4 linked regions of the Drosophila melanogaster genome follow. The gene in region 4 interacts genetically with the main gene of each other region. Each region holds a gene or a part of one and is shown on either strand. Other genes may lie near its edges. The genes, in order: nerfin-1, CtBP, Tom and Su(H).

The links.
Region 1: of Su(H) (region 4) and nerfin-1, changing one suppresses a phenotype caused by changing the other (phenotypic suppression), as found in Drosophila melanogaster (one study listed by BioGRID).
Region 2: of Su(H) (region 4) and CtBP, changing one enhances a phenotype caused by changing the other (phenotypic enhancement), as found in Drosophila melanogaster (one study listed by BioGRID).
Region 3: of Su(H) (region 4) and Tom, changing one suppresses a phenotype caused by changing the other (phenotypic suppression), as found in Drosophila melanogaster (one study listed by BioGRID).

The regions. Positions count from the first base shown.
Region 1 is NT_037436.4:906,356-914,578, reverse strand, and holds nerfin-1 (nervous fingers 1), read right to left. Parts: upstream 5,468-8,223; 5' UTR 5,282-5,467; coding exon 3,872-5,281; 3' UTR 2,260-3,871; downstream 1-2,259.
Region 2 is NT_033777.3:13,008,750-13,016,374, reverse strand, and holds the start of CtBP (C-terminal binding protein), read right to left. Parts: upstream 4,727-7,625; 5' UTR 4,627-4,726; exon of another isoform or gene 4,203-4,626; intron 1-4,202. Other genes in the region: CG11656 (uncharacterized protein), read right to left, coding at 5,416-6,211, 6,291-6,370; CG8031 (uncharacterized protein), read left to right, coding at 5,195-5,243, 6,605-6,686, 6,748-6,816, 6,881-6,993, 7,060-7,171, 7,229-7,625. UniProt on the Drosophila melanogaster protein: Corepressor targeting diverse transcription regulators. Hairy-interacting protein required for embryonic segmentation and hairy-mediated transcriptional repression.
Region 3 is NT_037436.4:14,966,575-14,972,372, reverse strand, and holds Tom (twin of m4), read right to left. Parts: upstream 3,030-5,798; 5' UTR 2,947-3,029; coding exon 2,470-2,946; 3' UTR 2,067-2,469; downstream 1-2,066.
Region 4 is NT_033779.5:15,036,022-15,044,850, reverse strand, and holds Su(H) (suppressor of hairless), read right to left. Parts: upstream 5,364-8,829; 5' UTR 4,915-5,363; coding exon 4,531-4,914; intron 3,757-4,530; coding exon 2,876-3,756; intron 2,818-2,875; coding exon 2,610-2,817; intron 2,545-2,609; coding exon 2,233-2,544; 3' UTR 1,517-2,232; downstream 1-1,516. Other genes in the region: CIAPIN1 (cytokine induced apoptosis inhibitor 1), read left to right, coding at 6,076-6,211, 6,301-6,797, 6,866-6,979; yellow-c, read right to left, coding at 7,123-7,800, 7,860-8,265. UniProt on the Drosophila melanogaster protein: Transcriptional regulator that plays a central role in Notch signaling, a signaling pathway involved in cell-cell communication that regulates a broad spectrum of cell-fate determinations.

The sequences.
Region 1 (8,223 bases), on a different chromosome or scaffold from region 4:
ATTCGCTGCTACTTGCGGAACCGCCCTAAAACAGTCGGGAGAAAAACTGAAAATGAAAATTGCTGAAAAATTCACCCAAGGCAAGCAGCAGTGGCAGCGGGAAAACGGACAAAAGCTTTTCCGCGCTCCCCAAGCAAAAGTACCCGTATTTTGGCACAGAGAGCGAGCGCGGAAAGCTCAATCAATAAGTCGAGCTGCTCTCTTTCACAGGACATCCCCATCCGGAACCACCCACCAAGTCACCACCCCCTAGCACATGCTGCGACTTTGAACGAACAGTTTTCTCTGTGCTTTTCCAATTTTCAAAGAAACTAACACCTCATCTCGACTCGCAAGTAACTATTTCAAGTCACTATTTACCGGATGAAAATCTGAGACGCGACACGTCGTAGTAAACCGCAACCGTAAACCGTTCACGGACAGCGAATCTGCTTGAGACCTTTCCTCCACTTTGCACTTGGGGCTACGGCTCTTGGCTTTCCGGACTTGCGATCCACACGTCTGACTGCCAGAATGGCCACAACATGAATGTCAGGTGTGCGATTCCGGCTGAGACTCGAACTCGGCACTCCACGTACTCCTCTGTGTAGGCGTCTCTCTGCCGGAGAAAATTTCCCGATAACCGTTATTTCCTTAGACAGTCGAAGCTGCCAACTTAACGCCGCGTTGCATTTCGATGGCTGCCAGGACCTGCGACTTGGCAGTGTTGCACGGGAGCGCTTTCGCAATCAGTTGGAGCTTTGGAAGCTTTCGGGCCTTATAAGCAGCTTCATATGTTTAAAACGTATAAGAGCCTTTCAACGTATTATTTGTATTTATGTAAAAGGAGAAGTTCCGGAAGATATTACAGATAAGTTATTCGAATTGAAAATCCGTGGGCTAACTATGTAGCATTGCTTCAAAGGGATTTTTGCTGCATTGTGAATTAATTTTTTTAGGATTTTAAGTGCCATGATCAAATGGATTACAAAGATCGCGAATAATTACCCAGCATGTTAGTACAAAGATATCCTTTCATATCATGTGCAGGATCTCCAGCAACTGTAGCAGCAACATACATAATAACAATTTGCATATTGAAAAACCCCTTGGGCGGGCAATTCTAAGTGGCCTGCCAATGATGATGGTAATCAAATGGATTACTCGAGTGGTCGGCACTTCAAATCTGCCAATCGCGCTCATCAATCTGTCAACTCCTTGGAGGAGTGCCATTAGAACACATGGCCACTTGGGCGAACAAAGGACCTGCATAAGGTAGTCTCGAACGGATTTCCAAGCCAACATGCCTCTCAAGGTGCAAATTAGCAGAGCAGCAGGATAAGAGTCCCGAGGACCTGAAAGGAAGTAAGATCCTTCGAGCAGCTGCCTTTGACCCGCAGAAATGGAAACTTGTTGGACATCGAACCATCTAATGCGGGTACCACAGTACAGGAATGTCCCGTGCCAAGGTGCAAACTGCAAAACGTATCGGTTTCGAGATCATTTTATTAGTATTTTATGTTTTTTGTTTGCTTCAGGCCTTCAGACACAGATGTTGGTGACTTACGGCTGCTGCATCGCCCCCTTGAAAACATCGACGGGGTTGTTTTTGCGGCATGATTTTACACAATTTTCGCTGTGCGAGGGGAAGGACATCCACATCTTTTGACGCTTTAAATTGATTCACACCGCGCACGCAACTGCCACCCCCGCATCCTTTAGTTTTATTCAGCTGCACCCTCGCATCCCGTACTATCCTAGCATATCCTGGCATATCCTGTTCGCCTTTTTTCCGTGCTGTCATGCATTTGTATTTGATTAAACATTTTTTACGCGTTTCCGTTGAGAGCATCATTAGTTTGGCCCGTTTAGAGTTTCACTATGGACCGACCAGAGACTGAGTTGAAAACACCCTGGGATTCCACCCCATCGTCATCAAGTTTCCTCGTCCTTAGCCCAGTGCCCAAATGCATCTGTCCGATTCAATGGTCCACTTCCGCTTTTCCGCCTTGGCAGTTAGTGTGTTTTGGTATTTGTTTTAGTCGGTCCCAGATCGATGGACCATGTCAATGGCCCTTAATGGCATTTCATTACTGCAGTTCGCCGTTATTTGGGCATGATTATAAGGAATCACCCAAGAGCACTCATCATTATTGGTTACCAGTCTTACAACCCCCGTATAGATGATATATGACCACCTCGCCGCAATTATAAAGCAATCATTTGGGGGTTTGTTTTCCCTGACAACCCAAAGAGAACCCAACAAGAAGTTTTCATTTTCAGTTTTGCGTTTTTATTCAAGAGCTTTTATAATTTACAATTTTTATGGGTTTTCCAAGATTGGGTTTTGTATAAAAATATATTGGTTTCCGATAAATATATGTCGATTACATCTTAGACATCATATAATTAAAAAAGGTCTTCAAGAGTTTGTTTTTGTATAAAAATATATGGTGTATATTACGTATAAAAATACTTGGTTCAATGATCTGTCTCCTCTTAGCTTATTGTTAATGCACAATCGAGCGCAACGATTCTCTTGTAAACTTGAAGCTTAGACTGTAGTATCACAAAATCTCAACCGATATGGTTACATGTATGATATAGCTTAGAGTTAGTTAATTCCTAGATTGAGCGAAAGTTTCCCTTTTCGTTGTACTCTGCGGTTACAACCAATTTACACATACTGATGCTAAGGAACAATAGCGCTGTGATATTGTCCCGATATCGGGGATTACTTATTTTATTGCTTTAAGTACACAACCGCCGGTTCTGAAGCCTGTGGCCCTTATAGCTAGGTTGTACTGTTCAATACTTTGACTGGTAGTGAGACGCTGGTCCAATGTCCGTTTCTATGCCTAACTTAACTAACTAAACTAAACTGAGAACAAGCTGATTCCGCTTGATTAGGTGGCTAAAATGACTAGAGCTCACACTCGACTTTGGTTCACAAACACTGGGCTTGAATTTGCTTTAAACTAGGATTTGGTTTGCTTTTTGGTTTGATTCGAACTTAAACACTATTACTGCACAATTTTGCCTGAATTTTGGTTTCGGTATATAACCTGAATATGACTAAAGCTGTATCCGAAATTGAAGAACGATATATGTTTGTACAAACTTAGTAAGATCGAACTGAAGCTGACTTATAGAGATGATTTATCCTAAGTGACTAGAAGGAATGCAAGAACTTGTGACTAGAATGACGAGAAATTTCCAGATTGAAAAAGTTGTTAAAGGGTTGAATTAAGGGTAGAATATTAACTGGAAAATGATTAGCAAAAAATGCAAAGATGATACAGGATGAGAGTGAGTCATGAGGAAATTGGTATGAAAGTGTGAAAAGCTATGGGATGATTAGTAGTAAGAAGAATGAAGGATGATATGGGTGATGAATGATGTCATGGGATGATGTAGGAGCAAAGGAGTAGATGGATATATGACTGACTAGTATTAGTTATAAATCTTTGGTTGGTTGCTTTGGCTTTCGTTGTAGGTTCATTGCACTCCCAAAAGTTCCTAAACTAGCTAAATCTAGAGACTAATAGAAATGCCTTCGTGGTACACAAGAGACACTCTTTTCGAGATCGTATTGAAGCTGACTAGTGCCAAGATTCTTTGGATTCACTGACTAGAAATTAAGTTACAACTAAATTGCCGTGTGGAATGTGGGCCGAAGTACGGATACAAACTAGAGTCTAACTAGAATTGAACTCATTTTGCGAACGAAACTGAATCGGTTAAGAACTAAATTTTATAGCTAACTAAGAATACGAAGTGGAAAACGAAATTTCCGTGGAATATAACTATTTCTTTGGTCTGTTTCAGCTGCATCGGGTTTGGTGTTCAACTAGAAACTAAACTTAACATTAAAAATAAATCTCACTCGATTTCAGTGGGCCATGGTTGTGTGTTGGATGACGGAGGCGCAGTTCCTCAAGTTGGTCAGAGCTGCGGCAGCAATGCTTTCCTCCTCCGTGAGACCATGTTCCACAATCTGAAGCCGTCCGTATCCCGCAGATGAGGCGGAGGAGCTGGAGTCCGAGAGGTAGTCGTTGTCATAGTCGTAGTTCTCCCTGGCATTCGATCCCACCACGTAGACTCCCTCATCGGAGTGCGAACTGCTGGCGGAGGAGGAGGTGGACACCGCCTGGTTAAAGTGAAAACTGCCTGTGATAGTTGTGGTGGTGGGCTTCATTTCCAACTGTTTTTCCGCTGGCTTTTCCTTTTTCTGATGGGTCAGCTGGTGCTTCCTCAGGTAGGCGGCTCTCTTAAACTTCTTGCCGCACTCCTGGCAATCGAAGGCCAGTTCCTCCTCCGACTTTTTCTCCACCTGCTGCTGTTTCTCCGGCTGGTTGGTGGTATTGCGATTCTCCTTTTTAGACGCCTCCTTCCTCGGCTTGTGCCACCGGCGATGGGAGGCCAAGTTAGCAGGACAATTGAACTGCTTGCCGCACTCGGGACACCGGTACTCCAGCAGGACGATGCAGGCGCACCTGTGCCGGGCCAGGCCGAAGGCGTCCTCGAACTTGATCTTGCACAGTCGGCAGACATAGTCCCCGATCACGTTCTTGATGGCGGCCAGTTCCGCCTTGGTCTCCTCCGTGATCTCGACTATGTTGTACTTGGGGTCAATGTCGCCGTTGCTGTACTGCATCGATCCATCGGTGATGTCCTCGAGCGGTCGGATGACGGTGCCCGAGACGGGGGAACTGGTCTCCTCATCGAACTTCAGCTTGCGGGTGGCTTTATTGCGGGAGGGCTTTCCCGAGGAAGTGGAGGCCTTGTTGGTTTTAGGCGCAGATTCTGCCACTTTGACGGGTTTCGCTGGTGTGGATTCTACTGTTTCCACCGGAACCTCCTCCTCCTTTTTGGCCATTTTAGCCGGCTCGTCGTCATAGCTCTCCCGGCTCAATTTACGCTTCCCTGCTGGACTCTGCGGTGGTGTTGGGGGCTTCACCGGCAGCTCCTCCACCTTGGTCACCTCCCCCTGCACCTCGCTGGAACTAGCACTCGTATTTTCGCTATAGACCTCCGCGAATGTGGCCGCCATGGGCACATCGCTGCTGGGCAGTGGTGAGGGAAGCTTCAGCGTTAGATCCAGCGGTATTTCGCACCTGGTTTTCAGGTTCAGATATCGACTGCGGTACTTGGGGGGCAGCGAGGCCACTGTGGTCAGCAGGCCCAGGCCATGGGGCATCCCCTTGTGCTGCAACTGGATGCCAATGCTGTGCGGGTGGCTGAGCTTTTCAATGGGCTCCGCGGGGGCTGGAATCGGTATCGGTGTCTGTATCTGGGCCATGGCATCGATGGGACTTTCAACTTAAAACTTCAACGAGGCAAAACGAAAACGGAGTAGAACGGGGAACGTAGAACGGGAACTAAGCAAACTTAACAACAAACTGATAACGCTGATCCTCGCGGACTGGGACTCTATGCAGAAGACCTCCAGTCGGCTCGACGTTTGTGCTGCGAATGACGTTCGGTGGACTCGGTGGCGGCTATTTATGTGTACCACAGGCCAAAGGAAAGCGAAACCGAAACTCGAAATCATTGTTTGTGCCGGCGTCCTGGAAATACATTTCAACCCCCTTTTCGGCCGAAGTCGTTGTCCTTTTTCGACGCCGGCAGAGCCGCAAAAGCCGGAATCTTTTGTTAGCAATCACACACACATTAGTCACCCTTTTTTCCACACACACACATACACACGGAGTGAAAGTCCTACGCACACACACACACCACACAGTCTCCCGTTTTGCGGCCAGGACAATGCACTCGGAGAAATCAATGTGCGACAGCTGTTGTTTCGGTACCCGAAATTGCCACGCACCAAAATCGCAGCACCTTCCTAGGCAAATATGAATGTATGTTTGTGTATTCAGCGGAAATCTGAGCAGCACATTGTCCTTATTTTTGCCAAAAAAAACAGCTGACACCCATGGAGTCGTTAATTGAGCATGTAACCATAAGGTTCATCAATAGATCGGGAATATCCTTGGGCCAAAAGGTGAATTGTTTCTTTGTTGGCATTTGGTGCTAAACAGCTGTTGGCCAAGATGGTTATAAAAGTAAACAATGTAACAAGTAATAACGGCTGGAAAGTACATCAACATAGGGCATAGTTCGGATTGCTATCTATTTTTACATTTTTCATACATCTCATACACAAATTTCGCGATGTGTACTTTGCGGCACTGCATTTATCAGCCTCAGACGACTAAGCTCGTCAAGTTCGCTTTTGGTGGGGTAGGTAACAGACTAACAGACTAGCAGACACAACTTGGATTCGAACTTCGAACTTCACCACCGCGGAGCATGGCGCACAATCGCTTCTATCCTCGTATCCTTGTCGCTGTAACGGTAGCTGTATCTGTGTGCGAGTATCCTGGACGTGTATCGTTCGTGTGAGTGCTTTGCATTAATGTAATCGAAATGCGAAGCCGACTGAGCTGACTGAGTCGACAGTGGTTGCCATGAAAGGAATGCACTTTCGATTCCCGTCGAGGGCTTTCGTCGCAGGATTCGCAGGACTCTCGCTCTTGGAAAATATGGCATATTATGTTGAACACGCCGCCATTGTTGTTGTTCTTGTATTACGGTAGGCACGTGCATGGCAACGATTGCCACCCCAAAACGGGCTGACAATGTGAGCACTAAAAGAAAATACCCCCAAATTGCATAGTTGATCTAAGATTTCAGCTTTATATTCAATTGAATGTATTAACTCCGCCAGAATGCTATAATACACATTGTACAATGAATTGAATGCGCTACTAATATTGATTTTCTCGCAGTGCATGGTTGAAAGTGCAGAGAGTATTCCCAAGGCGATCCTGTCGCAGCAGGGTGGCCTTTTGCCAGGGGAATCGATGTTTGCCATGCAGCTTAGAATTAAAATAGCGCACGCATCCGAGGCCAAATCCTGGGCCAAACTTCGGATCGAGTGAATCGGCGACAAAAGTCTCAGAAGTGCGCCAGCCACGCGAGCATTGTCCTGAAGGTCCTGTCGTCCTTCGGCCGCGATGGCTGCCATCCGAAGGTCCTGAAAGGCATCGCAGATACACTGATTCAAAATCCATCCCCGTGCCGGGTGGCGAAAGTCCTCCCCTCCGGAGGACTCGGTGATGCCTTGCCAACTTATTCCTGTCAGTCACAAATGCCGCCTTATTTGCGATTCACTAAAGTGAGCGAAAAAGGAAACGGGAAATCAAGCCATCAAAAAGGACGAAAATTGATTAATCTGAGACAAGCCCATTGAAACGGATTAGTGCGCGTTGTTTAGAGGCTTCTCTGCGGTTATCATCATCCACCAGATCAGAGTGCACTTTTGATATTTCCATGGCATACGATCTCCGCACTTGCTTCTAAGGGGGAAGTCGTCTATTAAATCTCTAGAAGTTTCGATTAATGAGTGATAAATTTCTCTGCATGTACCCTTCAAAAATCCGCTTTGACTGCTCTGATTTCTGCGCTCCAAGGCGTTCTTGGCACAAATTCGCACTCGACAAACACCCACGACAGCCCGCGGAGAAGTGCCCCGACCACTGGGATATGGTCTCTATGTCCCACCTCGTCAAATCGCCCACATAGGAGGTACGCATTCTGTTTGTTGTTCGGTACATTGCTAACCCTTAAGTGCATCTTTTTATGGTAATTTCAAGGGCTCAGCCCCACCTCGGATCTGTCTGCGTGTCCTGGTCGGTATCCTTGCTCCCTCTGGCGGCTGCTTGGCAATAATTAATGTTCGAAAATGCATCGTTTATGCGGCATAATGCACTTGCATTTCCATTCTCGTTTTCATCTGGCTGTGTGTGTCTCAAAAGGCTTTTTAGCCTTTCAGCTTTTGAGCCTGCAAGCCGCGTGCACTTTTGCTTGGGCAGCTCCTCAAGGATCCACTCCACTTGTAGCACATGTTGCCCATTGTGGCGATGAGGCTGCCATTTCGGGGTTCAGTCCTGTCAATCCATTCCACTGCCACTTCCACTGAGCTGTAATTAAATTTTTCGCTTTCATAATTTCATGCAATTTTTGCTGCTCCGACGGCCAAGCGATTTGGTTTCCAGGGCGCAAAGGTTTTTAATTGCATTTGATTTGTTTCTGGCAGGGGGAAAGTCGAAAAATCTGCTAACAATTTGCATTACTCCATTGGGTATTAAAATTGAAAGCTCCAAATTTGCCGTATCTCCGGGTGATTCAGCCGCCAATAAGCCAGGCTCAGCATGTGTGGTTTAATAGTAAATACCC
Region 2 (7,625 bases), on a different chromosome or scaffold from region 4:
TTGTAACTTTCAGGAAAAAAAAAAACACAACAGTAGCTGCGTGCTGGCTTTAAAACCCGGTCAGCACTGTCCAACTGGAGGAGGAGCAGTAACTCCAGAGCACCGATGACGATGGCCGCGCGCACACATATCTCTTTATGGACAGGGAACGGAGGAGCAGCAGAGGCAGCAGGCGGCACGGCACAGCACAGCAACAAACCAAACCAAGCCAAAGCGAAAAACCGGTTTATCAACATGAAACGACAAGGCGGACGATAACAGAGTGGCGGCAAAAAGAGGAAAGTCAGCGCGCTAAAGAGCCGCTGGCGAACTCGGTGTGTGCCTCGGTTCTTTTTTCCACTCGATTTTATTTTCATTTCTTTTTCTCGTTTTTGCCACAATTTCTTCCTGCCTGAAAGCCATGTTCGCTTAAATTGTTTGCTGTATGTGTGCGTTGTGTGTGTGTGTGTGTGTTGAGCAGCCTTAAAACACGTTTAAATAAGTCATGCGCATTTGTGGGCAACAACTTTTAAAGCACAGTTGAGATGCTGCTGCGGGGAAATGGTGAAAATGCTGCTCGAGGGTTGGGAAATCGACAACTGCAACTGGAAAATTCAAAGTGCAACTGCTCATGCGTCGTTGCTGCGACGACTGCCAGCGATTTTTCAACTTTAAGTCAGTCGTCGTCGGTGCTCGTAACTTGTTTACCCCACCCGCTCCCTTTTCTTTGTACTTTTGCCTGAATTAACGGCTGCTGCCGTTTTGTCGTGACGTTGCGTTCCCGCGCTTTTCCTGCCAGCAGCCCCCGTCCCCTCCACACCACGCTGGCTAACCATTTCAGCTTTCTGTTTCATGCATATGCACTTAAAGCCGGCTTTCAAGATGACGCCAAAAGCCTCGTGGCTCGCAGTAACTAAAGTGATGGCCATTCACATTAAGCGCGATATTAATGCCACAATATTTCGGCACTCGCAAATGCGATTTTTCAAGCCGGCGAAAGTTGTGGGTATGGGTATTCATACTCTTACATCATAAATCAGTTGCCCGCAATGCCATAAGTGAATTTATAGAATTTATAGATGGGAGTGTAGAAATGAAAATAGAACATGGAAAATGTAAGAAATTCAAACCAGAAATCGTTGAATTGCGAAAATATCTAAATGTTAAATACATTTTTTGCCAATAAGCTATAAAAAGTCAAACCATTTTTCAATAGAAAATCAGAGCATTGCGTTTTCCAAATTCCTTCCAATTTAAATTTGAGATTGTTTTAGCCAGATTATTCCACCTACAAGTATATAAACACACCGCATTAACTGGGTAAATTTCCGAATTGGCCATTTTCGCTGATATTCGGTTTTCGCGGTTGGAAAAGTGCAGATAACGCGATTACGAACGAGTTCGGACCTTCAGCAATAATTTAGCCATGGTATTTACTGTACTACCAAACGAAAGCACTTAAACTGTTTGCCTGACATTGGCCAATGTTTTCATTTGTCTATGTATGTAGTATGTATGCATGTAGGTGCCATTCTGCGTTGCTTTCCCATTGTTTTCCCTCGCCTTTTCTCGTATTTCCCACTTGTTTTTTGGTTTTTGTTGTCTTGTTTCGTTTTTTGTTGTTGTTGTTGTTGTTTTTTTTTTTTATAATATTGATTGGTGGTGCGCGCGGTCTGCGAATGACGCAAATCGAAAAACTGCAAGCCAGCATAGCCGAGTGGCAAGTGACCAGAAGTGGGAAAAAATCAAATGAAATACAATTTATATATATATATATATGTATATATTATTGCCTCGCACGCTTACGAATTGCTGATTCTGCGTTTTGCGGCTGCTTGGCTATTTCTATTTATTATTGTTGCCATATCGCTGCATCTGTTGTTTTGGACGAATTTGGCTGAGCCATCTGAAAGTGTGTGTTTTCTGTTTTCATTTGAAAAGTGCTTGCGCAGGAGTATAGCAGATATGGCGAAAGGTTTGCCATCAAACATGCAACGATTAGCTGGCCAAAATACATCTTTCCACCGCTGAATAGATGAAAGACATCCGAATTTGTAAACTATCATTCATTTTCAACAAATTTATAACTTGGACAATTTAGCTTTAAGGGTATTAGAGCCTGTACCATCAACCGAATTGCGTTGTATTTGCCTTTCAGATCGATAGAGATAGAGCGCAGAAAAAAAATACAAGAATATGAGGCACACATGGCTGCCATTGTGTTTCTGGTCGAATTTTAGTTCCTCGGACTTTTGTGTTTAAATTTAAACGTTTGCCTGCTATTTTGGTGGCTGCTTTCGCTTTGTTTTGCGCCCCGTGCACCACCAAGTGTGAAATTCTTTGGGCAGGTGTGCATTTTTTCACGCGCGCAGTCGGCGGCAAACACACAACAACAAACATTGCGCAAAAACACAGAGCATCAAACGGATTGGGGGGGGGGGTCGTACGAGGCGTGGCAGTGGGCGGCATCGCCTGGCATTGACAATAAATAACCGTTAGCTAGTGGGAGTGGGCAGCCCATACACAATCAAATTTATTATTTGCCAAAAAAGGGCAGTGACAAGAAGCGGAAAACGTTGTTGCGCCAAAAAAACTAGTAACAACAAATTCAGCAACATGTACAGTTATCGATGGACTATATATATAGAAAATTCCATGGCAATGCAAATATTGAAGTGGAAACGGGAAAAGCGGCTCTCTCTGCCACATATTTCCATATTTCTATTTATTCTATAGCGAAAACTACATTGGGTAGGAAGAATTCTTAACGACTGCAATACAAATTCAGTGGCTAATAACTATAAATTTAAGTGTTTTTATAAAGCAAATTCCTCAGCATTTCATTTTTGCCCAATGACGAACAATTAGCCAAAAATTTCATAACCGCAATTAACTTTAACTTTAAGGCAATCAATAATTTCAATTGTGCCTGCTGCTTTTAAGGGTTTGTAATCAGTCTAGATACCCCAAAAGTGCGCAAAAAGTTGCGGGGAATACAACAAATGACTAAACAACTAACAGTCGCTATAATTTGAACTCTTTATGTGGCAGAAGTTTGTCTGTATTTCCGTTTTTGGGCAAAAACAAAAACACCATTTGTAATCCTCTTCGGAGTTTTGAGCACTGCGAGCAATACCAACAACATTCCCGTTGCAAGTGCGGCAGTATGTGGCTGGGAGGGGAGAGGTTTAGGGAGGGGGGAGCCCAGAGTTGCTTGTCTGTCTGCCTCTTCATGTGTGCGTGTGTGTGTGTGTATGACGTATACGTTTGTATGTGTGTGATGGGTACAGGCACGTCGAACAGTGAAAGGGCGAACGAACAAGAGAGAAGAGAGAGAGCGATAGAGATAGAAGAAGCTATGACAAAAACACGACAAGCGCAAAAATTGTAAGAAAACTAGAAACAAGCATCAATTTGAATGGACATTCGTAAGTTGATCAAACTTTTTCACTTGGTTGTGTATTCAAATCGGCATAAACACACACAAACAAACAATCGCAACGGTTGTTGAGTAAGTGTGTGCGCTTGTAATTTGCAATCAATATGCGGGCGCAGGAAATAAAAGCTATTTATACTTTTAAAGCTTTAGTTCGCGAAGAAGAAACGATAAGCAGCACTTTCACCCTTTAAAGGCTTTTAATCCGAGCGAAAGAACGAAAACTCCCGGTTGAAATGTGTCAACATGAGGCTTTAGTTGGTTTTCAAACTCGTTGCTTTTGGCCTCTCCCTCCCACCCTTTCTCTTGCACTCGCGCTAGCTCGCTCTTTCTCTCTCTGTCGCACCAAATGTGGCGGCGGCAAAACAACAACGATGAGACAGCATGTTGCAGTGGCGTGGGCAAAAGGGGGGTGCTTGAGAAAAGGGGGACGTTGCGCAGTGAACCTTGCGTGTGTATTGTCACTAGGCGGGCGGAAAAAAATATAAATTACAAAGAGAGTGTATGTATCTGTGGCTGTGTGCGTGTGCGGGGAAATTATTGCACAATTTTATTTATGTTTTGCATAGAATATGGCAGGCATTGCTCTCTCTCTCTCTCTCTCACTCACTCACACACGCACTCACTCGACTTTTGCATTAAACCGCAACAATACTTGGTCATGTGTGTGTGCGTACCCACACACGCACACCCGCATCACCTATACAGGCAATAGCAGTTCCGCTTTAAAATTCATCAGAATTCTGCACGTTTAAATTTTTCTTGTACACGTTTATCGCACACTCACACACACGCACGCACACAGGCACAGGCGCACACTCGTTGCAAACGGAAAGGCAAATGGGAAATATATGGTGTAGTAATCCGTGGAAAAATCGCCGCTGCCGCGGATTTTCGATTGTGGTATTATTAAATAGCTGAAACGCAATCAGCGGCGCACAATTTGATTTTCAGCTCTCGTTTTCGCCTTTTTTTCTCTCGCTTATTCGCCTATTCCTTTGTGGCGGCGGCGACGGCGGCGTCGGTTTTCTTCTCTCTTTTCTTTTTCTTTTTTTGCGAGTTCACAATTGGGCAAGAAATTCACGTGCCAAAAACGCGGCCACACACAATTTTCGGGGACAAACACTTGGCGGCGGGTCTCATGCACCGTTGCCGACCACTTTTCACAAATTTTATGCACTTTTTGGGCAGTTTTCCCACAATTAATTTACCAGCAACGCGTCCAAATTCCACTCGCAGCTTTCAAAATGGCGGAATACGAACACGGCGGATTTTTAGGTTTTAGTACAGCAATGACGCTATGCGAACAGTGTGACCGCACACGGGTCGTTCGAAAATACCTCGGTGCGCGCAGGCAAACTGCAAGAATTATGGTATAGTTTGAAATGTTGGTATTGCAGAATTCCGACTTTCGACTTCCGTGAGTTTCAGTTGTATATGTTATGCGATTTCATTTATGGAAATTAATAAAAAACAACACTTAAATAAAATTACGTTACCTTATGTATTGTATTTTATTTGTGTGATTTATTATTTAGAATAATAAAAAAGTATTAATGGTATATATGATTATACCAAAAAAAAAACGATATTTAAGTACTTAATGCAGCCCTGAAGAAGTGTGACCGCTGATCAGCGAATCCAGAGAACGTGTTTATTTCAAAAACAAGACGACGGTCACACTGCTGTACCAATAACAAAGAACTCGTTTTTTCTACAAGTAACGGCCAGTTAATAGCTCTTACTAACTAAACAGACCGATTAGGGATCTCGCACAAAATGTCGGCCAGAAGAGCAACCCATGCAGGCAGCTGGTACACGGACTCGGGTGAGTAACAACCCAGCTGCGGCCCAGAAGATAACACAATCAATTATTGCATCGCCTATGGGTGTGGGATAAACGCATATGTATTGCACCTGTGCGTGTTTGCCTGTGTGTGTGTTTGTGTGCGGGTAATGAACCTTAGGGTGAACCAAAAATGTAACTACAGGTCACCAATTCAGAAGTTCTTTTCCGGATCCGAGCCAACCGCATTGCGAATCTCGTCCATGCGATCGTATGCGATTTCGGTGGCCCAGCACAGACGCTTCTCCAGCTCGCTGTTGCGCCGCCGCTGCTGACGCAGTGCATCCAGTCCGCGTTCCAACTGAGTGCATGCCTGGAAGAAGGTGCTCAGCTCGGGTATGTCGCCGAATTCGCCGGGATGCCGACGGAATCCCTGCGTGGCGTCCGTGGATAGCTTGTCCAGGCGATTTTGCAGGAAACGCTGGTCGAACATCATCTGAAGCTCTGCAGTCGTCGCTTTGCCCAACTCGTTGTTGGATTCGTTTAGGTGCAGGTCCCGTATGCGGTCCTTCAAGCCCGTGAAGCTAACCGACTCCAATTTCTCGCCAATGCCCTGGAAGAGTTCGTAGCTCTGCTTGAGCTCCAGCTGCATCTTCCGGACATCTTCGTCGATGCTTTTGGCCGCTTGCGATTCAAGGAAGTCGGCACGGGCACTGGCCTCCACGGGCGGAGCGTCATATCCTGATCTTAGCGAATAGCTCGAGGATGTGGAGACCGGATCCGATGGCTTCTCCTGGGCTCCACCTCCAGTTAAACGATCTTCAGATGATCTGGTACCCGACGACGAACTCTTTGTACTGCCAGCGGACGAGGAGGAGGCCTTACTATTGTTCTTCTTGGAACTCCTCGATTTTGCTTTCCTTGTTTTCCTTATGGGCCCGAAAATGGGCAGCGGATTGGGACTCAGGAGCAGTTCCTGTGACGCCTCCTTGTCGGAATCATCAGCAGCCCTGTTGTAGGATTATAAATGGATTGATTTTTTTCTTCTTTTATATATATATATATATATTGGGTAACTTGATAACTTACTCTTGAGATAATATAGCTGTAAGCTCGTTCCGAATGCGATTCATGAGCTCATCGCTTTGTTTTTCCTTATCAGTTTCCATCGCGGAATGTTCAACTAAAATTTAAATCAATATTTAATAACTTTATATCGCTGCTGTGATAAGTCTCGATTTAGTGAAAGTCTTATAAACCAGGAAATATTTGTTTGTTTGCTGCTAGGCAACGACTGGCCAACTATTTTCGTTGATTTCGAAACTGAAACCAATTCCTGAGCAGGGAATTATGGTTTACGATATTATTTATTCGTTAATAAATGTATTTACTTTGCTTTTCAGGCGCCGAGCTCTCGAGACAGTTGGATCGTTGGCTGGGTGCCGCAGATTTGTCCCATGGACCGGCTCGTGCCATCATTGCTCCGTAAGATTTAACCGAATTCTTGCAATAAGCACCATTGAACTTACTGATTGATATTCCACAGACATGCTGGATATACGTACTGTGGAGCCTGCGCTGCCTTTGCCTATCGCCAAGTTAGCCCAGTTGTCGTGTAAGAAGTTCACATTCGAGATTTCCGCGAAGACAATCCGGTTTTATTGAACCTTTGCTTGCAGCAAGCGAATCTTCATACTGGGTCCCTCGCATCATGTGCGTCTGCGTGGCTGCGCCTTATCCGTGGCGAAGAAGTACAGGACACCCCTCTATGATCTCAAAATTGATGCTCAGAGTATGTCGATTGCAAATACAAGGTGCATTGCATGTTTTATTGATTTCATTTATTATTTATATTTAGTCAACTCTGAGCTTGAGAAGACTGGAAAGTTTTCTTGGATGGACATGAAGACTGACGAGGATGAACACTCCATCGAGATGCATTTACCCTACATTGCCAAAGTGATGGAGGAGTAAGTGGATTTGAATATATGCTCGAGGCGTTTTACTAAGTAATAGCACTGCTGCAGCTACAAGGATCAGTTCACCATTGTGCCTATTCTGGTGGGTTCGCTCAATCCCGAACAGGAGGCGCAGTACGGCAGCCTGCTGTCCTCGTATCTGATGGACCCCACCAATCTGTTTGTGATATCTTCCGACTTTTGCCACTGGGGCCATCGCTTCAGCTATACCTACTATGACAGCTCCTGCGGAGCGATTCACAAGTCCATCGAGAAGCTGGACAAGCAGGGCATGGACATCATTGAGTCGCTCAATCCGCACTCCTTCACCGAGTACTTGCGCAAGTACAACAATACGATATGCGGACGCCATCCCATCGGAGTAATGCTAGGCGCCGTGAAGGCACTGCAGGATCAGGGCTACGACAAGATGAGTTTCAAGTTCCTCAAGTACGCCCAGAGCAGC
Region 3 (5,798 bases), on a different chromosome or scaffold from region 4:
CGATGCCGGCAAGCATAACAAATAGCCAAAAAATGAAAGAAATGAAAAAATAAACGATCATCCCTTTTCCATCGGGTTCGGGTTAGTAATTTGAGTGGTTTGTTTGCGGAGGACTCGGCTCGAATTTATGCCTTGATTAGTTTTTGGCTATTAATTGTTAATAGGCTGACAGTGGAGGATAAAAGTGACAGACCCTCGTTAAACACATGTTGTCGGCAAACGAGAAATATTTACACGTCAACATTTCATTTTTGATCAGTACAGGTAGACTGTGGTCCTTTCGAGTACAGTGAACATTCGCTCGAAGGTGTGCAGGGATTTTCAAGATTCCACACTCACTGCAGCGTAGTTGCTCTGGCAGGCTTCACTGTCCTCACACTTGTTCTTCGGGGTTGTTTTGGTCCTTGGCAAAATTTGAATTTGGAGCGTAATGAAACTCGAATTTCTTCGTTTATTGCATGAAAGGTTTCTTTATCTTTCCCTTAAATCTGCTATAGGGATTTAAGATATTTTTGGATTTCTTGTTGCATGGAACCACCACTTGGAAATATGGTTTTCTGTGACAGGTTTCACTGTCCCCACACTTGTGTGTTGGTTCGGGCTCTCCAAGAAAATTAAAATTTCGTCTCTTGTTGAAATTCGAATTTCGTCTCCTATTGAAATACTTGGCACTTGTAATTTGGGATTCATTCGTATTCCAATCCAGTTGCATTAGATGGAGTGGGATAGGATCCTGGCCCATCCACTTGGGGGGTGACCAACCAGGAACCTAGCGTGCTTGTGGCTCGCTTAACTATTCCACAGGCATAATTCCCCATAAGCACTTGAAGATTTTATTTTGGTGGCGTTTCAAGTTTAGTTGTTAGTGTCAGGTTTCCTGAAATTCAAGCGCCAGAATGAAGCCTGCATAATTAGCTTGTGGCTATCGTGAAACAAAATATTGTGGATCGAGTGTTGTAATATGACTTATGTTGCATTTTTCTTATAAAAAAAAATTATTTACACTGAAAATACATGTATTCTTTAATACATAATTCTTTATCTTTATTTTATTTCAGTTCGGTGGCTTGTTAGCCGTATATACATACATATTATATATGATATTATTGTGATAAATATTTATCATTGACTCATTTAAAGAATTTTGAGAATTCACGCGTTTGTAGCACATTCAAAATTTTTAAAAATTATTTTATTCATTTTAGACTGGGTTATTTGATATGGTTTTCTTATAATTAGTTCTTGAAGAATTCTTTGTAGTATTTTAATATTTGTAGATACAAACAGTAATTTTTTTTAACCATAATATTTTTTTTTTATTTTACTTTGCTTTTATTTATTGAATCTTCTTGTATAAGAACTAACAATAAGTTTAAAAATCTTAACTATAACAAGTATTTTTTGAACAGTTGTATTATTTTTCCAACTGTTCTATGTTTAAACGGCCCTAATAATTTATTCGCTGGGTTGGTAGGTCCTTTCGCCGGAGACGGGAACGGCTGCTGAGCTGGATTAGACCTCGCGCTAGGTGGTTGGGGTGCGTGTGAAGCGTGTGAACCATAATATGATATGAAAAGATATGATATTTACTATACCAATATTTTCGAAATATAAATAGAATAAATAAATAAATACATATATACTACAAAGGTATATATTAGGTATATTTGAAACAAAAATCATATTTTAACGATAACAGATGCAGAAATTGTATGAAAGACAAAAAATAATATTTGGTGAATATTATATTAGCCTGTGGTCAGGCTAAATATAAATGTAAATAAAATTCTTTATTGTTCTTACGGAAGTATTTCCAACTGCCTACCAGCAGCATTTTTGGATTCAAATGGTCTCCAAGCAGGAATGAATGCAGTCACTAATTGGAATGTGTTCACCAGCATAGCGAGTCCAATTTAAAATCCATTCTTCAAATCAGAATTGTACAGAGTAGCCGAATTTAACTATACTTACAATGGTCATTCAATTTGGGATTTTTCTTTTCCAACCTTATTCATATTATTTCATATCAGTTTTCAGAATAAAGAGACATTAGAATTTCCTTTTTTCGATTTATTTATTTCTTATATGATATTAGTGTTTATAGCTAAAGTTTTACATGGAAGACAATGATTCTTAGCCTAATTCTTATACGAAGACCCTAACAAACAAACATGGAAGACAATGATTCGGCTAAGACTAACTTAAGGCTAATAAGACACGATAAATCACAATGAGTTAACGATAGTAACGCTTGATTGTGATAATTGAATATCAATTAGAGTTGTGTTTCCCTTGGGACGCGAGCCCAAAGAATCCAATCTATGCCTAATATCACCCTGAGATTACGAACATGCGAAGCTGAACCCGCATCCATCCGACGACCAATGGACGGAGACACTTGCACTTAAAGCTGCCAATTGGAGTTTTTCCCGGTGCATCGAGAAGTGGAACTGTGCATCCTGGCGATGTTTAGGCCTGAACCCAACGGTCGAACTGCTGGCGCAACTGCTGTTCGTGGTGCTGGCGAGCTCCCTCGGCTGAGGTCCAGAAGAAGGTGCCGCTGGTGGTGCGGGCGAAGTGGACCGGGATGAAGGTCTGCTCCGGATGGACGGGCACGATGCTCTGTTGCTGACCCTGCTGCACGATCATGGCCACGTTGGTGGGGCACTGGCGGAGATCGGTGTACAGTCGCTGCTCCAGCTCCTCGTTGGCCATGTTATCGCAACTGGCCGCCGGATCTTTGCGCATGTCCTCCAGCGAGGCGTTGACTGCATTTTGGTTCTGGATCTCGGCCAGAGTCTTCCGGAGTAGCTGCTTCTTCTTCACCAGTCGCAGAAGGGGTTTGACCAGTTTCCTCAGACTCCGCATGGCCATCGTGTGCTGATCTGATTTCGGCTCCATCACCTTGCTGCTCTCAAACTTGTATTCCCGTGTGATGAACGACATTGTGTTGAGGATTGTTGAGATTTATAATAAAACTTGGGATCTTAGTTGGTTGCACTCGGTTGAGAGTTGGTAGTATTCTGGTTTTCCTGCTGCACGACCGACTCCTTATATACGATTTGCTCTCTTTGGTTTCTCTCGGCGGGGGAGAATTCTCGCACAGAGCGGCGGTTCTCTCGATCGATGGACCCAGCCAATGGGAAGGCAGACTGCCTGCAGGTGGTTGCACAAACAGTGAGAGCGGGAGACAAAAGAGAGCCAAGAGAAAGCGGTCTCGGAATCAGGAGCATGTCCTTACCCTTGAGAAAGCAGGGTATGATGAATTTTTGAGTCTGTGCATAAAAAATAGATTTTACGAAAAATAAGGTTAATATGTTTTTATTGTGTGTATATCTTTTAAGTGTATTTTTTCTAAAAAAAATTATTTATAATAGTAATATTGAAAGGGGCCATATAAGGTTGAATTTAATTGAATTGAATTCATTGAATTTATAATAACTATAGTAATAAGATCATAAACTTGATGAAAAATATCAATATTTAAGGACTCTATTAAAATTAAACTTAAAAGACTAGCAAGAATAAAATGTATCCTAAAATATTTGGTATACAACTAAATTAAAAACTATTTAAAATTAAATAATTAAGATCGGCACAGCCTTACAAAAAAAGTTTTCCTTAACAGCACACTGCTAAATTAAGGTATGTAGGAAGTACATCGGTAAAATTACAATAAATACAAAGAGATCGTTGTATATTTAACAATTATTTAGTATTTTACTAATGGTATTTATTTTTTGGAACATAGCATACCATACTAAGTCATTTACTTTAAAATTTCATATGTTTCCCACGTGATTCAAATGCTGGGTATTACCCACTCGAGTTGCTCATTCACTGCAGGTTTTTAACGGATTTTTTGACAGTCGCATAGATCTCGGTCGGTTCTCGATCTTTCGCCCCCTCTGAGAGTACCATGCCTCACAACCTCTCTTTACCTGCTCGACTCTGTCGCAAGAAAAGTAGAAGTCCCTAAATCCCAAACGTAAAATTCCAGGAGAGTACCGAGCGGACAAGTCGAAACTTGTTGAAAAAATTCCATAACAGAGTGTGAGGGAAGAGAGATTTTAAAATTCGACACACTATCCGAAAAAAGACGGAGGATATGGACAAACAATGGATTGGCATATCTCGGAGATACAATCTCGCCGCTGGAAATACCCAAACGGACAAGGGACTTGTCCGTTATTTCATTGAGACAGCCCAGAAAGTGCCCCTAAGTCCTTCCGTCCGATCGTCCTTTTCCTATTTTCCCAACCTGTAGGTAGTTGAGCAAAGTAACGTATTTTTCGGGTACTTGGCATTGCGATGGAATGGGATGGGATCGGACTCTCAAGGTTAGTCAATATGCATTAATGCCGCATTTCGGGAAATCTCGGCAGGTCCTTTTCAGCTCCTTCCGATCGCATTTGTTTGTCATTGTTGTTCTTTCCCGGTTCGAGGGACCTGCTCTGTTGATGCGTGAAAAATTTTCGACGCGGGAGAAGCACGTACAGATAGGGATCTTCAGAGTTTTGGTTTTTGGCTCGGTTTACGCATTTTAGTGGAATTTCGTCGGCACTTCGTTTATGAGTCGCCTTCCTAATTGTTATGGGCCCTTTTCCCTTGCCCCCGAAGGTTACTTTCATAATTTTGTAACGGCTCCGAGGACTCGAGTTTCTTGTAACGGTCGTTTCGTTCCTTTGGCTATCCTTACGGTCATTAAGAGGGTCCCTAATTGGCCCCCGTCTGATTGCTGTGCCCCGCATTACGCAGAGCTTCTTTGTTTTAAGGTTCTCCCTTTTGCAATGGAAACCTGTTTATTATTTTGCGCAATTCGGTGGGGTGCATTATATCAATTTCAATCGCAGTGAAGCAGAGTCGAGGGGTTAAATTGGGGTCTACACTTGCCTGGCTGTTGATTGTCAGAAGACGTGACCTGATTTGACCCTCTCCACACTTTACACATATCGTTAACCATTCGGTTTTCGTTTTCGGCTTATAAAGGGAAGGCGTGGCAGGTTGATGTTATGTAAATTTTTGAAACGGTTCCACATTAAGATGACGTTCCTCCCTATTAATAATGGAAAATATATTCAAATAATATTGAATATGTATTTTTCCTTAAAGTTAAGGTATTGCTGTAAGAAATGTGATACAAAATTAAATGCACGTTTGGATAATCCTACTATTATTTACATATATTTACAATAGTAACGTATGTACATATGTAAAATGTATAGGCTACGATTAATTTATTTTTAAGGTATACACAAGTCAAAGAATATTGAAAGAACACAAATTGTAACACAAATTTTTAGGAAAACAAATCAAAAGTATGATACCATAATATACCATTTCGTACAATTTTTCAAAATTAATATTTAACAGGAGTTGGATCTACATTATATTTTTTTTTAATGTTAGGTTAGCACTGATTTGTATAAAAAAACAACAAATTTAAGAAATAGAATTTGTTGACCAAACTAAATAGCAAATGAATATTGTTAATAAAATCAGTTGTTTCTGTTACTTCTCAATCTTAACGTTGCATTGAATTCTTTGTCGTTGCCAAATAGGAGCATTTACAAAAATGTTTTATTGTTCTTAACGCAAAGTAAGAATTGAAAAACAATGCAATAAAGAAGACCGACTATCCCACAGTCGCAGTGTTTGCACACGTGCAATGAATTTCGATCCTTGAAATATGGAACAAGTCTCGACACGATCGCTTCGTAAAATTTGAGCTACGTTCTTTAGAAACTATGTCTCTTATTTGCCAAAGAGCTCAGTGCTATATGGTTTTGTAGAGTAAG
Region 4 (8,829 bases):
ACGTGCAAACACGTAGTTAAATGTCTTAAGTTCATTTCGTTTAGAAACAAACAAACGAACTTTGGACACTTAATAACACTTAACTTGAACAAATGCTTGTGACAAGTCTTGAAAATGGGTTCGTATAGAACAAACCAATCTATTTTAGACAAAAAATGCTGTGTAAGCACAAGTGTTAATAGTTCATTAAAGTCATTAATAAATAAAATAATTAGTCTTATATAAATATCTTTGTTAAGTAACAACAATGGAACTAAACAAGTTGAAGTAACGGTTACGACCGACCCCTATAAACTTTGAAAATCCGATCGATTTTGCCATCGATTTACCAATCTTGACCTACGGCTTTGGATTTACCGCGCATGGAAGGGAGTACGTGTCCAAAGTCTTGTGAATACAAATTTTTATAGGACTGGATTATATAGTTTCCCTTGATTTTCTTGCCTGACTCCCACGCCACCGATTTCCCACGCATTGTATTTTGCGAGAATTTCCATTTTTCCCCAGCGTGTGAAAAACGGCAGCAGTCGGCACGGCAAGCTAAAGACTAAAGACGACGGCAGGTAGACTTAGATTTTTCAAGATAATGAACTTTTTTAGTAGACGGTATGAGGTTGTGTAGCAGTCCTGAGAACTTTTAGAAATTGCTGTCTCCCCCTTTCTAAAAACGACCACAATCATCGCACTCGCCTATCCAAACAGTGGTGGAGAAAGAGGGCCTGGGGAAATGTGAAGGAATTGTTCATTAAAAATTCCAAACTAATTTCATATTCAGCTTCTTATAAGACGGCGACGACCTTAAGAGGTTGCAGTTCCAATTGCCAGAGCCAGAACTTTTGGTGGTGGTTTTTCCATCATAATGAACACAGGCGGCCGCCAGTAGTTTGATTCCTCACGCAACCAAAGTTCGTTGTTTAAGTCTTTCGTTCCCATCGCCCGGTGCAGTAAAATCTTAGGGGTTGCAGCCAAGTTCCTATTGGCTGACTCTGATAAGAAATATGTCTCCCAAGTGCAAGATGAGATTAAATGCTTGGCCAGCGCTCACCTTCTGATTCCGTCGAGCGGAAGTGAGCGATAATTAATTCAAAACTGCGAATCTTAATTTGTAAATCTGTAAAGACAGCAGCAGCAACGAATGCATAAATATTCAACAAAGGCAGTAAAAATTCTCACAGCAGCTCGGCAGCGGCTTTTTGGGCTGTGAGAATATTCTGCTCCTTAACTTGGCCAAAACGGAAACAATAGTGTTATATATCTATGTATATTTGCTTCTTAGCTTCGCGTTCAGCAATTCCAGACCAAACTATAATTAAAGTCGGCCCGTCCGAGGGGGTTGAGGCAAACCATCGTGGGAAGAGCTGCACTTGTTTTGTTTAAAAATATTCACACGATACTGGGTAATATTCCCACAGCAATTTAAGGCAACCAATCCTCCCCAGCGCTCCACCTTAGGCCACAGGAAAAATGGTGAACCAGAAGAATCACGCTAAACCAAAAACATAAGCTGACATGATTTGATTATTCTTTGTCATCATTTGGGATTTCTTTTTTTTATTTATGTTAGGCATTTCGCTTACACTTAAATAAATCGCTGTTTTGTCTTGTTGCGATTTTATTTTACAAAATATTTTATTGGGATTTTTAATGCTACGAATTTCCAAAGTTAATAAAAAAATGCAACAAAACTGTATGTACAGAAACAAATTTTTCCCTTTTTGACTTTGTCTTCGACTTTTTAGAAAGCTAAAGAGGGAAATGGAATGTTTTTGTAGCGTGGCTACTGGCTTGTGTATAATAAAAATTTCCGATGCATTTCGCAGTATTTTTTTTTTTCATTTAGATCTTTGGAAATTCATAGCAAAGAAAATCATAAATATTTCAACCGCATCTAAAAATCGTCTATAAACTTACATCAATTGTATATTTAACTAGAATTACATGTTTTGTGTAAAGGTATATTCATGCACATACAAATGTATGTATGTATGTCAGTGAGCTTTTCGAGTTATGTACAGAGTTTTATGTGTCATTTACAATTCTATTGGTTCCGAACTAGCACTAGATACATGTGTAAAGTATGATTCACTTTAGAGAGAAGGGGACACATTTTGGTTTACGTCACGAGGGGTTGAAAATTAGTATGAGAAAAATTGTCAATCTACAAACTAAGGTCTTCGATAAAAACTATAAATAACTTAGGATACATATGTGTGCGATGCAATAATCCTGCACTCAGGATAAGCCGCTACCATGACTATTCCATTGCACTTCTGAGATGGAGGGCAGAGCCTGATGCTGCTGCTGTTGTTGTTGCAAGCCACCGCCGGCTGCCGGCGATCCCGCATTGTTGCTGTTATTATTGTTGCTAATGCTAGTGATGTTATTATTGTTATTGTTCTGTCGCGCTCGCATCACATCCTCGGCCTGTGTATTGCAGTGCGGCCGAGGACCTGGTTCAGGTGTATACGTGAAGGTCAGACCGGTGGCATAAATTATTCCATCGTTGCGCACCAGCGAAATGGGCACCTGCGTGGGCTGACGTACCTGCAAGGACCATTAAAAGTAAAATTTATAGCGCGTATTAAACAGATTTACATTGGAAAACCTACCCAAAGCCATTCGCCTCGAAATTGTGAAATCTCCGGCACCACGCATAGCAATGTCTCTGTGCAGCGGTACATGGTTTCCGCCTCCACATCGCCAAACCACACCTGCAGATGCGGCGTAAAGTTGTCGCCACTCAGCTCTAGCATGGCCACATCCCCGCCGCCATTGAGATTAAGGGAATTAACGATTGGCACTGGAGTGACTGGAGAACTGGAAGAAAACACGAAATGAAAACTAATCCATTGAGTTGTAAGTAAGCTATACTTACGCCACAGGACCCATGCCCTCGTAGAACTGGTACTCAGCCTTGTCGGTGGATATGATGGTCCAGCAGGCGCCGTCATTGATCATCTCCTTGTTCGGCTCCTTGGGGCACGGCGTGGCCTGGAACTGTATGATTTTCTCCTGCGACAAACAGAGATACATCCGATCCGTATCCTTCATGTAGAAGGCGCATTTGTGCAGCTGAGAAACGGGATCGTCGGCTTCCAGCAGGGCCATCTGCTTGTCTACCTTCCGGATGATCAGACGTGGCAGGGCCATGCCCGTTACGGAGCACACCAGTTTGACTGTGGCTCCGTAATGAATGTAACCATCGCGCACCTGAAACTCCTCCGACTCGGACTCATTGTCATCCAGCAGGTGTATCGTAAAAGCTCCCCATTGTGTTGACGACGCATGAAAGTGTCCGTTCTCCACGTGAAGGTAACGGGTGGAGACAGTCTGGGAACGCAGGCGATTGAACAGGGCTACATTGGTGCCGCTGGCTATGCACAGATCGGCATTCTTTAGCGACTGTTTCTTTTTGGACGGCTTGGATATAACCTTGATCCGTTTCGAGTTAAAAACGCCAATGTCATGACCGTTTCCGTAAAACATCTTCACCGACAGCATAAAGTGTTTTCGCTTGTCCGAGTCCGAGATGAAGAGCGTCTTGGCCGCACAGTACTGCTTGCCATTGAGATCCAGCTGCTGCATATCCTGGTCACTGCTCCCGATACCGATGAACGCGCATAGTTGTGCTCCCTGTTCGCCCTCGCCCTGCTGCAACATCTCCTCGTACCGCCGGCGCCAGCCACTTCCGAACAGATAAATGCACGGCGGTGGGCAAAAGAATCGCTTCTCATTGCCATAGGACTTTTGGGCCACCTGGAATTCACACAGACAGACAGACAGAGGCGCACGATGGTGCAGGGAAAATTCAATTAGTACAAATTGCCGTCCAGATTATCGGAAAATCATATCAAAACCGCAAGCAATGCAGCTTTGTTAATTTTCTGTAATTAATTTCAATTATTTTCATTGCGGACTGGACCGCGCTCGCGTTGCTCAATTTGCGGGCAGTCGAGTGTGAAGGATTCCCATTTGGCGGCAGTCGTCGCTTGAAGATCGCCACCGCTAAAAGCAACCGCGACAATTTTATTCCATTTTCATGTCTGCGTTCGCCAAAAACCGCAAAAATGTAACACTTTAAAGTGGACAATGGAAACACTAGCACCTTTAAATAGTGGGTGTGGTTTTGGCGTTGCGGACTGACCGATTAGATTAAAACTAAATTATAAAAAAAAAATAAATATCTTGTAAAGCATACAAGTAATTTTCAAAGAAAGGATACATCGTTAAACTTGAAATAGAAAGAAAATCTGAATTTAATCTATTTAATCTAAAAAATCGAATAATTTAGGAAATCGACGTACAAAACTGACCAAGTTTCTAATTTAAATGAAAGTTAGGATATCCTACGTTTCTCCAGTTTGGGTTAATATATTTTTAGTAATATTGAAATAATGTATTTCAAGCTTCAAATAATTTAATTAAGACTTAAGACTCAGGAGTTCCCTTGTATGTTTTAGAATATCTTGAATACTAAATCCAGACCAAGCACCTGATAATACCGGCTTAAAAGTGGAAATCCTTTCGTACCTTGGCGTGCAGGATAACGATGACCATGTCGTTGCGCTCGCGCATGTACTTCTCCATGGCGTCCCGCGTGAGCTTCTTCTCCTCGATGTGTGGCCGGTAAGGACCCGGCAGCAAGGACATCTGCATTTGTTGTTGATGCTGCTGTTGTTGTTGTTGTTGTTGCTGCTGCTGCTGCTGTTGGTGGTGCACTTGCAATTGTTGTTGCTGCTGCTGCGACGACGGCGGCTGCGGACCGGGCAGTCCAAAGTGCGGCATATCCTGGCTCTGTTGTTGCTGCTGCTGGTGAGGATCGAGGGGTGAGCCGTTGGGATTTACAACCGTAGTTTCGTAGGCAATGGCGGGCGGGGCGGCGGCGTTTAAATTAAATTGGCTGTAGCTCTTCATTTATGCACATGTCTCCTTGCATTGAACTTATTGGAATTTTGTTTGGATCTTTTCTATTATTTCGTTTTTGGCTATTTGGCAAATTCGTTTGGCACTTTATACACTGTTCGCTGGTGCTGTTTTTGTTGTTGTTGTTGCTGCTGTATGTTTTCTATTTTGTTATCCTGCTGCACAAACACACACGCAGAGCAGCTGTCGTTTCTCTCACGCACTCTCTTCCTCTTAACCGCGGATTGGCTTTGTTGTTGTAGCTCAAGCTGGATTTGCGGCTAGCTGCGATTCACGACTAATCACACATATTTCAGCGTTTCGAGCAGATCTTGACTAGCGACTAGCGGTAGTGGCGGCTGGCTTCTGTTTAAGGCTGCAACTAGCGCTCGAGTTATATTTATAATATGCTACAACTAAAAAAGCGACTGAGGATGTTGATGTTGTATCGATAGTCCGATAGGCGCTTATTTATGATAGTCGCTGCCTACCGGCGATATGTTTGTCGCTTCACAGCACTGTTGGTTGGATTTGGATGGCAGTGGGCATTTGGTTATTTTATAGCCAATTTGGAGTAGCTAATATATTTTGTTTTAACTTTGCAGTTTCTGAATACATTTGTATATTTATTCCCATCACATCACTGTTAAAGATATTATTTCTTATATCTATAAATACTTTTAACTGATGCGAAAGGTATCGATTTTCATTGAACACTTCGATTTTGAGCGCCCACATTTAAAATTCAAGGTACAAACTACCAACCTTCTTGTCTAACTGTCCATGCATTTTTAAAACGGGCCGTGGGAAAGTACACATGGGTGAATTTAAAAGATAATTCGCGACTTTAGGCTTAAATGTAACCGTTTAAATAGGTTTAGTGGCAGAAACACACAATATGCAACTAAAAGCTGTTAATTATGTATCAGAATGTAAGCTGTAACTCATTAAAAAACGAATCTGGTGGAGTACACTTAGTTATTCATATATTTTAGCAGTCACAGTGTAAAGTGGAAAAATCTACAATCACTGAATATCATTTGCAATCCGATAGGCAGGTACAATCGATATCACCGCTCGATTTTCGGTGCATTGCCATATCTAACTTGTGAAATCAAAAATCGGTTCCGTTCGGTGCTTGAACTTTTGAGATATTCTAGAAACACATCCACAATGGAGAACTTTAAGGGTCTACAAAAATCCCTATACATATGGACGGACAGCGCCGACTTGGACAAGCGCGTGGAGCAACTAAAGGCGGCCACTGGCGGCGATGTGGCTTTGGAAAATGTGCACCGCCTTTCGTTTTGTAAGTTGCGTGCGGTGCGGTGTGTGTGTGCTGTTTTTGACTAGCCAGTGAGTCAGCAGATTAAAATCAGTGATGTTTATGCATTACAGCTTCCTATGCCAACTCCAGTTTCGACCTGATTGTGATCGAGTGCGCCCAGCTGACCGACAGTTACGTAAAACTGCTGCACATGCTGAAACCGAGTGGCAAACTGCATTTGGTGTCCTACATCGGTCCGGCGGCTAGTTTGCTGCAGGAGATCAAGCTATCCGGATTCATAAACTGTCGCGAGGACTCTCCAGATGCTTTGACCGCCGAGAAGCCTGGCTACGAGACAGGATCCTCAGCCAGGTTGTCATTCGCAAAGAAGAACGCCAGTGCAGTCAATGTGTGGAAGATAAGCGGTGACGATGAGGAACTGATCGATGAGGAGGAGCTGCTGGACGAGGAAGACAAACAGAAGCCGGATCCGGCTGGTCTGCGTGTCTGTAGCACCACGGGCAAGCGCAAGGCGTGCAAAAACTGCTCCTGCGGGCTGGCCGAGGAATTGGAGACTGAAAAACAGAGCCAGAAGGCCACCGAGAATGCCAAGTCAAGCTGTGGAAATGTGAGTTCTCTTAACCCCGATGTGAGTTAGCATTAACCTCGATTATAACTGATTTCTTATATGCACAGTGTTATCTCGGCGACGCCTTCCGCTGCTCCACTTGCCCCTATTTGGGCATGCCCGCCTTTAAGCCCGGTGAGAAGGTGCAACTGGCCGACAACCTCCTGAAATCCGACATTTAACTTAGGCTCACCATGGTATACCCAATCAATCACATTTCAAATAGTTTATTAAGCTGACTTACTAACAAACAATAATGTCATAATGTAAATACAAAAATGCACCGCGTCATAAACACAGCATGTAGATTTAAATATCCAAGTGATCACATTTCGCATGGTGTACCCTTGATGAGATCGCGGTTCTGGCCCATCAAAATACGATAGTTGACGGCCGAGGGATCGAGTTCCTTGTACAAATATGTCGGCATCTTGTCGGACAGCACCCAAATAGTGCCTTCATTGTCGATTTTCATGTCATTTGGAAAGACCAGAGTGTGCGAATCGGAATCGATTAGCCCCTGGGTGTCCGGAGTGTATGGACGCTTGATGTTCCAACAAGCAATGGCGTCTTTGTTCACCTGCGTATAGAAGATGACGCCGGTCTCGGGGTCAAAGACCTCGGCGGTGGACTGGCCATTCATGCCACGGTCACCAACGTATTTAAAATCGTAATACGAATCGCCAGCGGTCACGTGTGATTCGTTTTGCAGCACGCGGTTCGAAACCTTGAACTCCTTGGTACTGGCCAGGGCATGGAAATAAATGTCCTTGGAGTGATCTGGATTCATTGGGCCCACGGCCAGCCCAAAAACGCCATCCGTCCACTGGAAGTTCACGCCGCCCACATTGAAATCACCATGCAGAGGATCGAAGTGGAAGAAGTTGTGCTTGACGCGGTAGGATTTGTCGTTCCTCAGGGAGTACACAATCACACCGTAGGCACCCAAATCCGGAATGTAAGCAAAGGCATCTTGGCACTCCGAGCGGTCCGCATCCACAACCTAAATATTGATTAATTCGATCAGTTTGGAATTTAAATAATACGCCTATGCATACTCACAATATTCGCAAAGAACGAGTCCTCTTTGGTCTGATCAGCGGGAATGGTGAAACGGCGCAGTAAAGTATCTGTTTTCAAGTCGAAAACCAGGATTGAATTGGGCGTAATCTGCTTGGGACTGCCCAGGATGTCGGCCAAGCCAGTATCGAGCACCCACAGGCGATCGCATACGTCGACTTGAATTCGGAAGGTGGAAATGACAGTGGAGTTGTCCTTCAGCTGGATGCCGGCATCTTGAGCCTTGTCCGCGTCCAGACGTCCACCGGATGGTGTCTTTTGGTCCTGTGGCTGCACATCGATGGGCAGCTTGTTGGCCTCCCAACTGGGATACGGATGCAGCTTTGGCGACTTCTCCGTCGAATTAATGTCGATGTAGTTGAGTGTGGCAGCAACACCAGCCTTCCATCTAAAGGGAAAGTAGATCATTTAATAATGAGGAGAAATAAATTAACTAAAAAATTTACATTTCAGACTTGTTTAGTTACTAATTACATTTAAACCTGACACTGGCAAGTAACAAATTAATAACATTAAAAAGTACCATTCACCTGCGCAATTATTATGACTGATTGGATATAGTCTAATATAAGCTATAGTTTTAATTTATATCTTAGCACTATCAGTTAAAACTTTGACGGCAACTATAGCTTAAATAATTATGCTGTATTATCAACAAAATATACTTTTTTTACGTATCTTATTTTTCGAAATGTTTTTAAATCGAATTTTGTTTTGATTACTCATATCTCCCGAAAAGCAGAATGGTTTTCGGGGCTTTTTGGCCAATAAGCGCATCGGTGGTAAATCCCAAAAAGGTGACGTCACAAAGACTTTGTTTACTAGTTACCTAGTTAGCCTTTTATGGGATCCATAATATTCCATAGAATTTTCCGATCATGTGTTTTCTCTTATTAATTTATAATTAACCTCATGTTACGATTTGCATTTAGAAACCACGATTTAAAATGCA